Arabidopsis thaliana: one gene and its partner. The protein of the gene in region 2 interacts with the protein of the main gene of each other region in a pairwise test. Each region holds a gene or a part of one and is shown on either strand. Other genes may lie near its edges. The genes, in order: BBX30 and AT2G12646.

Region 1 (6,130 bases), on a different chromosome or scaffold from region 2:
TAAACCAACACTCGGAATAAATTGCTTCGAACTAGTCTTATTACTCGGATGTTTTGAATAACAAGAAAAACGTGTTCAAAATTAATGACATTTACACGTTTTTTTATTAACAATTCTCGAAATTCTTGCGAGCCACAGAAAGTACCTAAAGAATCAAACAAAAACTCCGAATTGTATGGTCAACCACATTATGACATCAACAAAATCTAAGGAACAATAAAACCACACGTGACAAAAGATACCCCGCGTGGCAAACCCGCTTAACAAGGTGGACCCCACACAGGATAAAAACAGAGCAAAACCTTTTCTTCTCTGTTCTTTCTCATCTCCTTCTCACTGGACTCTCACACACCCTTGTAAAGCTTCTAATCTCTGGAACCCTGAAACATAAACAATTTTACACGATTATTGTTATACTCTTGTTTAGAAAAAACTCTGTAATTAACTGGTTATGAGTTTCTAGACATTGTGATTTTAGTACTGATTCGGTCTCGAGAATCCACATTTTCTTAGTTTGTGAGTGTTTCTCTAACATTCAAACACAACCATGTATTAGTCACAGTCACAGTCACACATTAAAAAGATACATGAACCTATAATGAATCGTAATTTTGTTTGATCTCTGAATGTTCTGTTTTTGTCTCACGATCCTTCTATGCTATAGGATTTTAGGTGTGTGTAGCGATTGGGATTGAGAAATCGTTATTTCTTTGGAGTTTTGTCTTCGAAGAAGTATGGAGGCTCGATGTGACTTTTGTGGAACCGAAAAAGCATTAATCTACTGCAAATCTGATTCGGCTAAACTTTGTTTAAACTGTGACGTTAATGTACACTCAGCGAATCCTCTGTCTCAAAGACACACGCGATCTCTACTCTGCGAGAAATGTTCCTTACAACCCACGGCAGTACACTGTATGAACGAAAATGTTTCTCTTTGCCAAGGATGTCAGTGGACCGCTAGTAACTGCACTGGTTTAGGACACAGACTTCAGAGTCTGAACCCTTACTCTGATTGTCCTTCTCCATCAGATTTCGGCAAGATCTGGTCTTCAACTTTAGAACCTTCTGTCACAAGTTTGGTCTCTCCATTTTCTGATACCCTGCTCCAGGAATTAGACGATTGGAATGGTTCATCAACTTCCGTGGTTACACAAACTCAGAACCTTAAAGACTATTCTTCTTTCTTTCCTATGGAATCTAATCTTCCAAAAGTGATAGAAGAGGTGACGTGTTGTTTAAGTAATATATCAAAATGTTTCATTTATGATAAAGAAGAATGTTTTTCATTTATATTCCGTTCTATATGCAGGAATGTTCTGGTTTGGATCTATGCGAAGGGATAAACTTAGATGATGCGCCGTTGAATTTCAACGCAAGCAATGATATAATCGGATGTTCATCACTTGACAATACCAAATGTTACGAGTACGAGGATTCTTTTAAGGAAGAGAATAACATTGGCCTTCCTTCATTACTGCTTCCTACTTTATCCGGGAACGTTGTACCGAACATGTCACTTTCGATGTCTAACCTCACAGGAGAAAGCAATGCGACTGATTACCAAGATTGCGGAATTTCACCAGGGTTTCTCATAGGAGATTCGCCATGGGAATCGAATGTTGAAGTTAGTTTTAATCCAAAATTAAGGGATGAGGCTAAAAAGAGATACAAACAAAAGAAATCAAAGCGCATGTAAGTTTTTGAGACACATAATCAGAGTCATTATCATGCTTTTAAAACATAATCTCATTGATATTTGTGGTACCAATTTCTTCTAGGTTTGGGAAGCAAATAAGATATGCATCACGCAAAGCCAGAGCTGATACGAGAAAACGGGTCAAAGGGAGATTTGTAAAATCTGGAGAAACTTTTGAGTATGATCCGTCACTGGTGATGTGAACTAGTGAATCTTCACTGCGGAACTAAAGAATAATCTGACTCCATCCACGGGATTAACAGTTTCTTGTCGGAGAAGTAACAAAAAAAAAACATAAAATTCTCTTCTTGAGAAAGTATACAAGATCAAACTACAAAGACTTAAAATCATCGCAAAGGTGATTCCAAAATGGAGATTAAAAAAAAAAAAAACTGAAAGTTGCTCTTTTTACTAGAGAATTTCCACTGTTTTTTGATGCAACCACAAAACCTACCGGTCATACAGGCATTAATTAGGCATACAGCTACGAGACGATCAGACAAAATCAGAAACCAAAAAACAAAACAAGAGTCGTTGACTCTTTCCTACTTATAGCTCCTTAATCTCAATTACATGTTAATCATAGAAAAATATATCTTCTTTGTGTTTTGGACCACTCTCCACCTTCCATTTCACTTGATTGTAATTTGTAACGTTGTATTGTTTTCCTAGTTAAGAAAAATAAAGCCAAAGAATAAAGGCAGATTATGTTTGCCATAGGAAGATTTGTTCTTGATTTCTTATAGCTTACTATTGGGACCGCATTATTTTACTATTAAATCAATATGTTTTCTAGGTGTTCATATATTACTTTTAAGCTTTAGAATGAAAATATACATTCTTAGAACATTTCCAGAGAAAAAACCCTACCAATATTTAATCTTAATTACGCGAAAAACAAAACATAAAATCAGAGAAACACAAAGGGAATTTTGTGATCACTACTATGTTCTTCAATCCTTGCTATCATCCTTATCTCCGGTAAAACAACATTAAAATTATCACCGACAAGACATCGACGAGTTAGCTTCCGACAGGTCGTGCAGATCACGCGCCGGAGATGTCTCCGAGCTAGAAAATTAGCAGAATGGACCCATCGATCGCATTTCCTACAAAGGAAAGCTGCGTCTGCCTCACAATACACGGTGGCGTTCTCGCCGCAAAGCTCACAGCTTACCGGAGCTTTGTGACTCTCCGTGCATAGTCTTTGGCATCCTCCATTGTCGCTTCTTCTCTCTTCTTCTTTCTCAAACCCTCTACACATCTTTACTCTTTCTTTGTCTCTCTTGTGTTCAAGATTTAGGTTTATATAGGAATGATTGTTATTTAAAGCAAATGGATATTATGAAATTGTCATTAAACTGGTTGTACACGTGGAAAAATATTGACCTATTGGTTTGATGTGAGTGTCCCTAGAGGACCAAATTGTCAATAATTTAGTTATTTTCCCTCCACCAGACGATCTCTCGTCCTCATGTTTGATACACAAGTTTCGAGTAGTTGACTAGTATGACTCGCTCATTGTCACATATCACAATCACGTTCTAGAATGAATCATGAATCATAGCATTTTTGTGGTCTATAAAAAGGGAGTATATAATAATAGTATATGAATTTATTAGTGATTATTCATTAAACTACTGTGCAAGTTTTTGGTTTGTTTTAAAAAGATAATATATGAACGAGAAATTGTGTAACATACTATCATTTGTTTTCAATCATGTTTTCACTTAGATTATAATATTTCTTTTTTTTTTAAAACTATTTCTGTTCGTTTTTATAAATTTATGAGCAGTCATAACATCTACCAAAGAAATGTACCTTTTTCTTAATCTGAATTGATACAAGAGTCAAGAAAATCTACGAGTGTGGAATGAAGCGTTGAAGAAGATGAAGAAAGAGAGATACATTCAATTTAATGTAATTTAGGTGACTCATGATGGCCATGGGTGCAGTGCAGCCAATTACTCTAAATTTTACTATTAACTAGTTACTCGTTTAGTCTAGAAAAATTCATCGCCGAAGAAGTGGTTAGAGAATCAATGTCCCACTGATTACAATTATTAAAGATTATGTGACTATGTGAGCATTCAGAAATATATTGAATATCGGGTCGGGACAGTCTCTACGTTATTGGGTGTCTTCGTGTCATTGTGTGTGTGGTGGTTAACTATTTTAACTTTATATTTTATTACGAGTTTGCTCGCAAAAGGAAAAAAAAAGGAACTTCACTTGCATGGTTCATGATTAAAGTAATTTCTTTTAACGATTAAAATAATTAATTTCTTATTTTCTAGGAGACGTACATCCTCCGAAACTGTCAAAGTTGAATATCCCCTAATGGTTGCAGCGGTTAATGCCGTCAAATCTCTTTGTAGACTGAGCTGAATTTTTATTTACTATTTATAAATTGTGTATTGTAAGCAGAGATTTTTTTCTTAAAAAGTTTGTTGTGAACTAGCTACGAACCGCTTTAACATACAAATAGAGTTGGTCTGCGACGCGACAGTTTATTGTCTGCAGTAAAAATAGAACATACTAAACCGTTGATGAATATGTCCATCTCGACTATTATCACCATTTAAACTCGAAATGGTAACGTATACATAACAAATTTATGATATACTGATAAAATTATCGTTGATAATTAGTTGGTAAACACTTAGTTAATTCATCGTTAATTTAATGACGTTTAAATGATATATTTAATGATGATTCGACCAAATTTATCATCAGAATGACCAAAAAATTTCACGAATAAAAACTTTATGCGTTTCACAGTTTATGTTTTAGGTTTTGAATGAATGCAATGAAAAAAGTGAACTAAACCGCTAACGAAACATATCACTTTATTTTTGAAGCAGACAACAAACAACCACAGACCAAGTTTTTTTATATGTAAAAGCAGTACATAGTTAGTCCGATGCAGACTTGTTCTATTTTCTCAATCCATACTACTACGGATTATAGCTTATGAATGGTAAACAAAAAACGGTTTAAATCGTAAAAGGATTTGTCCGTCCTAACCACCGCAACTATTCGAAACTTCTCACTCTTTGAATTCTAATTTTAACTAATTAACCCTTAACTGTTAAATTACATTCGAGAAATATTCTTTATAGGTTCTATACTTCCAATATAGTTAGCTAATATCATCAAAAGAAGAAGTCGACGTGCGTGGCATCCACTCGCGGACGACTTTTCCTTCAACCCTTTACCTTTCGCAAAACCTAGATCTACGCCGCCTTTGTTTCTCCGGTCATCGGTGCTCTTCGCCGTGACCGGGAGAGGCCCCCCAGTGGCTCCACTCAGTGGTTTGGCTTCCTTCTCGTCGGCGATTTGACGAGTTAGCGTTTCGGATCTAGAGATTCTGCGATCTGTGCGCTTTACTCCCGCTTAGTTTTGGAAGTCGTTTGTGTCCCTGTCTCCTCGCATTACTCCGGTTTGTTTGGAGGCTCTGTTTGTGTGTTGCTGTTTTAGGTGTAGCTTGTAGTGCTGAGGTCTCAGCTCCGGCGATTCTGATCCTCTCTTTTAGTTTGCACCGGGGAAGTTGGTCTCTTTTTGGTGCTTTGTGTTGTGGCTGGTTGTTAGAGCTGGCTTCTCTAGCTGCTTGCAAGCTTCCTCTTTCCATTTCCCAAGCCAAAGGTGGTTACTTTGTTTGTGGACTGGTTTTAGTCCGAGACTAGTTTTGCCTCTGTAGGTTCTGGTGAGTTTCGTCTAGGATGGATTTGAGGGCTACGCTTGACCATGGGTTTGTGGACGGCCCGTCGCTGCCTATACCATCTCCGTGCATTTCCATGGCATGTCTCTCTTGAGTCCTCTTTGTTGCGTTCAAGTTTATCTGTCTCCTCTTGTCACTTATGTTATTACCTAAGCTCAACCACATCAGATTTGTGTCTATGTGTAATCTTGCGAAGATTTTGTTGAAGTCTCTGTTTTGCTCTTTGCGATTGGTGGTGTTAGTATGGCTCTTTGTGGTTAAGATGTTGCAAGATTCTAAGCTTCCGTTTCCAAGTGGGACTCGTTAGAGTGAGTAAGCATTGCCTAACACTTTTGGCTCGGCAATTCCGGAGCTCCCTGATGTGCTCGGATTCCCGTTGAAAGGGCTGCCATCTTGTTTTGGGGGTTTCGTGAGCTTCACTTATTTGTCTTCGTTGGGTTTCCTCTCCTAGCTCACTTTAGGGATTCATCTTATCTTGTTCCCAATCAACTTCTTTAACAAGAATCGAGGATTAGGTTCAAGAATGTTGTATGCTTCCATGCTTTTTATCCTTTTTTTGCCATGGAACCATGATTTGGTTACCCTTTATTGTGTAACCGAAATTTTCATTGTGATAATGAATATTTACATTCTTAGCAAAAAAAAAAAATATAGTTAGCTAAGTTGACAAATGAGTTTTAGTATCCAAATCCGTATGTTATTGGGCTTGACAT
Region 2 (7,634 bases):
CAGAGTCCATGATAGCCAGAGGGTAGGCACAAGGTGGTAGAGAATTATAATGAGGGGTTCCTGAGATATCAAGGCAGTCATTAGCAGAAGATGGAAAAGGGTTAAAGAGCTCACCACCAGCATTCCCTTCCTCCTGAAACATTGTAGAGTTTGCAGATTGTAAGAGAGCATCATGGTTAGGATCAATATCTGCAAGATCAGCTTCAGCATCCTCAACCGGACCATTGTTGTCATCTTGGTTTACAGCATCCTGGTTTTGGACATTAACAGCAACATGTTCCAAACCCTCCAAATCTTCATCATCATTAATCTCTCTAATAACCACTCCTTGATTACGCCCTTGCGGAGCCTGGTCATCCTCATCGTCATCATCATCTTGTTCTTCTCCCCCATTCACGATAACACAGGCCCCTGAGTCATGGGTCAGCATCCCACAAACCTCAGAAAAGCCTCGAAGCCTTTCATATCTGAACCGGAAAAGTGTGTTAACACCCGCAGTGAATTGGAACTTCCTCTGAAACCTTACGGAAATAGTGATGTCCCAATGTACGAGAACACGAACAAAATCCACCCGCGCCACAGCCTCTACATCAAAATCAATTTTCAGCACTTGTCCCAGGGCCCGTCCGATGTGCTCGACGACGCCACAGTTGAGAAATTGGAATGGAATGCCTCTGATTTGGGTCCAGAAAGGAATGAAATTGAGGAGCGGCAACAAGGGCTCCCATCGTTGAAGAATCAGCATTTGATCATTGAAAGCCCACAGACCTCGACACAAAACTGATTCCAAGGATTCTTCATTTGGGAAAATGAATTGAAAATCCCGACCCTCCACTATGCGGCTGTGAACAAGTCCGGTTTTACCCCAGATTCGCGGCATAGAAGCGATGATTGAACGGAGGTTTTGTCGCCTTGGAATCACAGGACGCCCGAAAAAGGATGAAACGGTTTTCTGCGACAGCTTGGTTCACAATGTCTTCAGGTAAAGCAATGGGTTCGTCATTCACACCCAAATTGAGGTCTTGGACAGCCCGACGCAAATTGTCACCAATTTTTGAGAGATTTTGATAGAAGCGAAGAGGATAGAAATTTGCAGAGATGATATTGAAAATTGTAGAGATTTGTCGAATTGCAGATCTGCCAATAAATAGGCACATAAACGCAACCGTTGATGAAGCATCACGCCAGATCGTGGATCCGAACGTGGATGAAAACCAGAGAAGTGGTGGAAAAGAAACCACCCACTACGCCGGCGAAAGTGATGGAAACCGTCGTCCAACCGACGAGAAGAAGATGATAAAGTAACCGTCCCAAAATCGCATTTTGTGTCGCCATTTAATAAATTATTTTATCTATAAAACAAGATGTTACAAATGTATTTTTGTTGTTGGTAATAGTTGGGACAGTAATTAATAAGTATGAAATACACCGTGAAATAAATATATATACTTTTTTGTTATAAACTTATGACATTGGTGTATTATTTATTTTTTATGTTTTATTGGTAGAAACTTATGTTTGAATTTGATTACACTCCTGGTAGATTTTTTATAACTAAATCGTATTTAAGATTGTATAATTGTGTTTTGATTGTTAATTTTAAGATTTTATCTGTGATATATTGTCATGTATTAACCTCGATCCAAACCCGTCTTACCATATAATCCCGTCCCTTAAAAATAAACATCATATTCTTATTTTTCTTTTTAATAATACTTTTATTTTAAAAATATATAATTCAATATACACTGCAGGATTAATAATTTCTTCTTTTTAAAAAACCGATTAATTGTTGTATATAATACTTTTTGTTGTTATTTATTATAAAATTATGATTGATTGTGTATGGCTTCTTATTGGTTAGTTTTCAATATTTTTGTCCATTATTATTTTATCTTTTATATGGTTTTCCATATTATTTGGTTTTGTAAAAACATTTTTGCTTTGTTTTTGCATCATTTTATTATAACCCGACCCACAATAAATGAGCAAATGTTTCTTAATCGATTAAATTTTTTTTAATGATTTAATTTTGTTATATTTTAGATTATACATAAAAAATATATTTCATTGATTGAGTAATATATATCTGTTTAAAAACTTTTGAATCACAATATATCCAGAAACAATCTAAAATTTTATTAACAATAAATATTTTATTATAATTCAAAATAATATAAATATAAGATCAAATAAAAGTGAAATGAGAATCATATATTTATGTTTGTAGAGAAGTTTTAGGAAATTAGCTCAAATGTTTTATATTAGCATTAAACATCATATTTGATTTTCTTATCCAAAAATAAAAAGTTAAGATATAGTAAATAAAAAAAAACATATCCATACAAATGAGCAAATATGTACTTTAAAATTGTTAAGTAGATGTTGACGGACATGTTGAGGAATATATTTTTGATATGATGATTCATTTAAAAAAAAGAAATATTTTTAAATTTTTATGGAATTTAAAGTTTATATTTGTATTTATTTAAAATAAAAAATAAGAAAATATAATAAAATCATTATTGTTAATTTTACAGTTAAATGAGTTTATATATTTTTTATTTGGTGGAAGATTCTGATTGGTTAGAGAAAAAGGAGGTGAATAAAAGAATTCACCTCTATAAGTAAACCCAAATATTTTTCAAAAATTATAAAACAAGTTAAAAAAATTTGTATCAAACATATTTTACCCAAAACGGAAACAAAAGTTAAAATTATACAAATCATTGCATGTTTAATTATAATTGGCGGTTGTTTTATGCAGAATTGAAATTTTCAACAAAATTTAGTAGAAGATGTAAGATTTGTAAGATAAACTTTAATGTAAATTGCAAGGTAGTATTCCTTAATTTGATTAAACAGCTAATATATAAACATACATTAATACGGTGACGTATAAAATATAATTATCTGCCATAACAAGAAGTACCATTTTAATTGTTTTTTTTTTTACCGGTACCATTTAGACGTTTATGACATTTAAATAGAACAAGTTGGCGTAAGACAGAAGAATCTTTTTCTTGATGTTTTCTTCTTGGGTATTGTAATTAATAAATTACTACCATTATGATTAACCATATGCTCTGTACATTTCTACTCCTATTAGACTGAAATATTATATAATAAAGCATAAAATAAGTTTTTAGTACTAATACCACGACATCAAGAATTTGACGGTGTATAAGTTTCCACGAATCTAAAAATTGGTTCAACCAAAATATATGAGTTTTTAGTAGATAACATTTCTATCGGTAATTAAAGGGTGTAAGGATTGCATTACGAAAATTTGTCGCGTTCATTTTTATCTTTAGCCCAAGTAGGTTGCATTGCATAGCTTCTACTTGGAACACTACTTATTGTAATGTATTACTAGGCAATAATTTGACTAGTCAATCCATATCCATTGTTTATTTAATCTATTATGTCTAAATTTAAGAATCACTAACCTTATATAAATATCTACAACAAGCCTATGTAACTATTTTCTAACAAAGCATACATTACTATTCTATTCACAATGCTTGGACCGATGATACTTAATAGTTTATACTAGTTTTGTATCTTCCTCAATTGGTTAATGAACACCAATATGAGTCTTAACACATCTATCCTTCTCTCTTGTATTTGGTAGATCATAAGAGGAAGAAATAAGGAATTAAAATTGGTGATGGCTACTAGAGACTCTTCTTCACGGAGGGTTTAACCTAATTAAGCTCTTAAGCCAAGGAGATGACCCAATAAATATATGTTTAAAGTAGGAGACACGGAAACAGCTCCCACGTTCCTCACTTTCTCTCTCTTTTTCTTCCCTCTATCTCTCATCTCACCAACACTAATAAACAACAACCAAGTTTATATGATATTTAAAATGTGTAAAAGAGTTATATCTCCGAGGAATAATCAAATATAAGTTTTTTTTTTCTCTCTTTCTCTCTCCCTTGTGATCCTCCATAAATCCTATCATCAAGTACTCCCCTAAAGAATCCTTTTTCTCTTCCTAATATTACTCTTTGTAGTGAGTAGTGGCCAAAAGTTTCCATCTCCCAAAGCTGACTTTCAGTTGAGTCCTCATGGTAGGTTACTACTTCTTCAATTCTATACCATCTTAAGTAGTGAAATTACCTCAATCATCGTACCGAATTCCTTATATTTGTACCCTTTATCCTCATCTTGGCTCCTTGGTACTTAATTATAGATTTAATGGTGGATGTAGGAAACAGTTGAATTATGGTATGAAGTTTTATTTACTTATTTAAGATTGTTTATGAGATAAATATTTTAGAGATTTTGTAAATCATTTGGTAGGGAATTCAGAAACCGGCATGGTTGGATGCGCTATACGCAGAGAAGTTCTTCGTGGGATGTCCATACCATGAGACGGCGAAGAAGAACGAGAGGAACGTGTGTTGTCTTGATTGTTGCACCAGTCTCTGCCCTCACTGTGTACCCTCTCATAGATTCCATAGACTCCTTCAAGTTCGCCGTTATGTGTATCACGACGTTGTTCGGCTTGAAGATCTTCAGAAACTCATCGACTGCTCTAACGTTCAAGTAAGTAATCTATTATACATATATGTATTATCTCATATCTATATATGTATATAAATGGATTGGGTGTTGAATTGTGGATAGGCTTATACAATAAATAGTGCAAAAGTGGTGTTCATCAAGAAGAGACCACAAAATAGACAATTCAAAGGAGCTGGCAACTATTGCACTTCTTGTGACCGAAGTCTTCAAGAACCTTATATCCATTGCTCCTTGGGTTGTAAGGTTATTTCATCTTAACTATATATTACTTCTACATAATATTTGACTCAATTCTACTTGACTATATGATTCGCACTTAGCATATATATAAAATAATTAAATTATGTGATAGTCTAAACTTTATAGATGATTCGTTTCTATGATAGAAACACATGTTCCCCTTTTAACTCGTCCACAAATAGAAATACGAATACATCAACAGGATACTACAACAAGTATACTACCAAATACCCTGATTTTTGTTTTTCAAACGTAAAACATTTTTTATTTTACTTTTGGTTAAAATATTCACACTTTTTTTTTAGTTATCTAACCTGGCTGTCCTTTAAAATGTTTTCAACCCGTAAAGTTTGTTAGTTTCCGCAGATGAGAATCTCAAGAAAAAAAAAAGGATTTATTAAATAACCCGTATATGGCTCGATTTTGAAATCTTGTCCTTCTGAACTAATGTATTTAACAAAAAAAAAAACATGAAGAAATTCTATAAAGGGGAGGCTAACTTTTTTAATAAATAAGTCTATCATTGACCTTGCCATTGGAACTTGGAACTATGTAAATTTGGTGCATAAATACTGTAAATACTCCCATATCATTTGAGCTAGTGGTTTGGCCCTAAGTGTTTTAAGAAACCACCACACTTTCAAATCTTTTCAATGTTGCACTTTGTAATAAATATATCATGTTCTCAGAATAACATCTAAGCTTTTTGAGCATGTAGTAATCTATGTGATTATATAAAAGGTTTTGGTTTATATACATGTAGGTGGACTTTGTGATGAAACGTTACAGGGACATAACCCCATTCCTCAAGCCATGCCACACTCTAACCCTAGGTCCTGACTACATCATCCCACAAGACTTACTGACAGATGATGAAGTGGCGGCCTACGAGACTCCTCGATCAACTGTGGTAGACGGCGATGAGTCCATGAGCTGGTCCTCAGCTTCCTCGGATAACAACAATGCGGGTGCGGCGGCTGCTTATGCCGCAACCACCACCCATGTCGTGAGGAAAAAAAGGACTGGTTTTTGCCTTTGCGCTAAATCGGCTAATAGTTATAAAGAAGTTTCGGAGGATCCTGACGATATTTCTGCTTGCATCAATCGGCGAAAAGGCGTTCCTCAACGATCTCCTCTCTGTTAACGTACTCTTTTCTTCTTTGTTTTTGTTTTCTAATCTTCTTTATTAGTTTCTTTTCACCATATAGTCTTATATGTTACATGTATGGATTCTTGTCGTGCGGTCTCTCTAATAAAGTTTATAATCAGTTTTTTATTTTATTTTATTTTGCTTACGTAGATATTAGTTTAGCATACCTTATAAATTCATAAGAAAAAAATTATCTTATCGCATAATAATATGTTTCTTCTACTCTGGTATCCTCAATATCCCTAAAAGGCCTCAGCCAAGTATTTCTTTTGTCACTTAATATATATCTAACCTAGGTTGAAGTCAATGTAATTTGTCTTTGACATATGAAATTGTACATTTTCGGCTTTCATAGCTTAGATTATCGTTTCAGATTAAATAATATGGAGAATCTGAAATATGAAATTAGATTTGTTTTGGACAGCTCTGATGGTGACTCACGTGGCTCCTAATTCCGAGCTGTGGGATCTTTCATGTTGTTCTAATATTGTTTTTTCATAAGAGCTAATTTTTTTCTACTCATTTTATATATATAAAATACTAAAACTTGAACCCACGAGATTCTCAAAACAATATTATAAATATATACATATATATTTTAAATTGATATTTATTTTTATATTTGTAATTTATGTTAAATATAATAAATATAACTAATTCTGAAAAAATCAGACAGAATCCTATCAATATTGTGAAATAAATTAAGTATTGATTCGTAACTTTCTTATAAACAAGATGATAATAGAAACACAGAGTCTTAATGGTTTTACGCACTCCATTTTTCGATCCGGGATATATATGGGAGGAGACAAAGGTGAAGCTAAGCGAGCGGTCCCATACGCAGGCACATCAATAATAGATGTGAGAGATATAAACAGAGAGGTAGATATACACTACAAGCTTTCACTGGGCATGAAAATGTCGGTGTGGTTCGGTTTCAAAATGCCTTGGAGGAAAAAAAAACCTATGTTCATATCCCTCTATGTATAACATAGTAGTATTCATGAAAATACATATTGGAGATGTCCATATCTCCCGCTCTCTAAACCAAGAAGTCAAAGTTATAACACAAAGACTGCCTGGAATAAGAGTACTTGAGGATAGGATGGGGGATAAAGTCCAAATTTATCTAGATGTTAGACACAATAAAAGAGATGGATTTAGTTTCTTCATTTTATTTCCATCCAGGACAATCTTTTTCTTTATCGATATAACACAAGAAAAGTCATTGGCAAAATGCCAATCCTGAGGTACATTACCACAAGAAATGCTTAAGTTTACGTATTGTTAAGGTTTCATATACATATACTCTACTACTTTTAAGGCGAGTCGCAAGTACAACGAGGGTGATCTCTCGTGGTCTAGTATTCTGACTTGATTGTATAGTTTGCCTAATTTTGTAAAGAACCAAAGGGTGTGCAAAACAACTGCAACCAACCAAATTAAACCAAAACAGAAGTAAAATGAATTTCTTAATTGTGTGGTTTCACTATTATAAAATCTGAAAACAAACCCACAACCGAACCAAAACTGTTTTTTTTTTATGTGTGTCCAAACAAAAATGTTTTCCTAATTAAAATTCGTACTTTTAAGAAAACAAAAACTTTGCGGTTCAAAAATAAATTTCTCTTTTATTAATCAAAAAAAAAAAACTATATTTAAGCCAAGGTCTCACGTATAAAACCCTCCTAAATAAATAAATGGAAACTTT

The links.
Region 1: the proteins of AT2G12646 (region 2) and BBX30 interact in binary tests that used the Arabidopsis thaliana proteins (3 or more experiments, as listed by UniProt).

The regions. Positions count from the first base shown.
Region 1 is NC_003075.7:8,705,711-8,711,840, reverse strand, and holds BBX30 (B-box type zinc finger family protein), read right to left. Parts: upstream 3,001-6,130; 5' UTR 2,961-3,000; coding exon 2,607-2,960; 3' UTR 2,359-2,606; downstream 1-2,358. Other genes in the region: BBX9 (B-box type zinc finger protein with CCT domain-containing protein), read left to right, coding at 735-1,223, 1,310-1,692, 1,779-1,899; AT4G15245 (uncharacterized protein), read right to left, coding at 4,793-5,073, 5,135-5,327. UniProt on the Arabidopsis thaliana protein: Developmental regulator acting by forming heterodimeric complexes, that sequester CO and CO-like (COL) proteins into non-functional complexes. Engages CO and the transcriptional repressor TPL in a tripartite complex.
Region 2 is NC_003071.7:5,165,462-5,173,095, reverse strand, and holds AT2G12646 (PLATZ transcription factor family protein), read left to right. Parts: upstream 1-3,792; 5' UTR 3,793-4,073; coding exon 4,074-4,076; exon of another isoform or gene 4,077-4,230; coding exon of another isoform or gene 4,231-4,233; intron 4,234-4,308; coding exon 4,309-4,554; intron 4,555-4,635; coding exon 4,636-4,776; intron 4,777-5,536; coding exon 5,537-5,917; 3' UTR 5,918-6,112; downstream 6,113-7,634. UniProt on the Arabidopsis thaliana protein: Probable transcription factor that plays a central role in mediating RGF1 hormone peptide signaling leading to the production of reactive oxygen species (ROS) in roots to modulate meristem size and root growth, probably via oxidative post-translational modification of the transcription factor PLETHORA (e.g.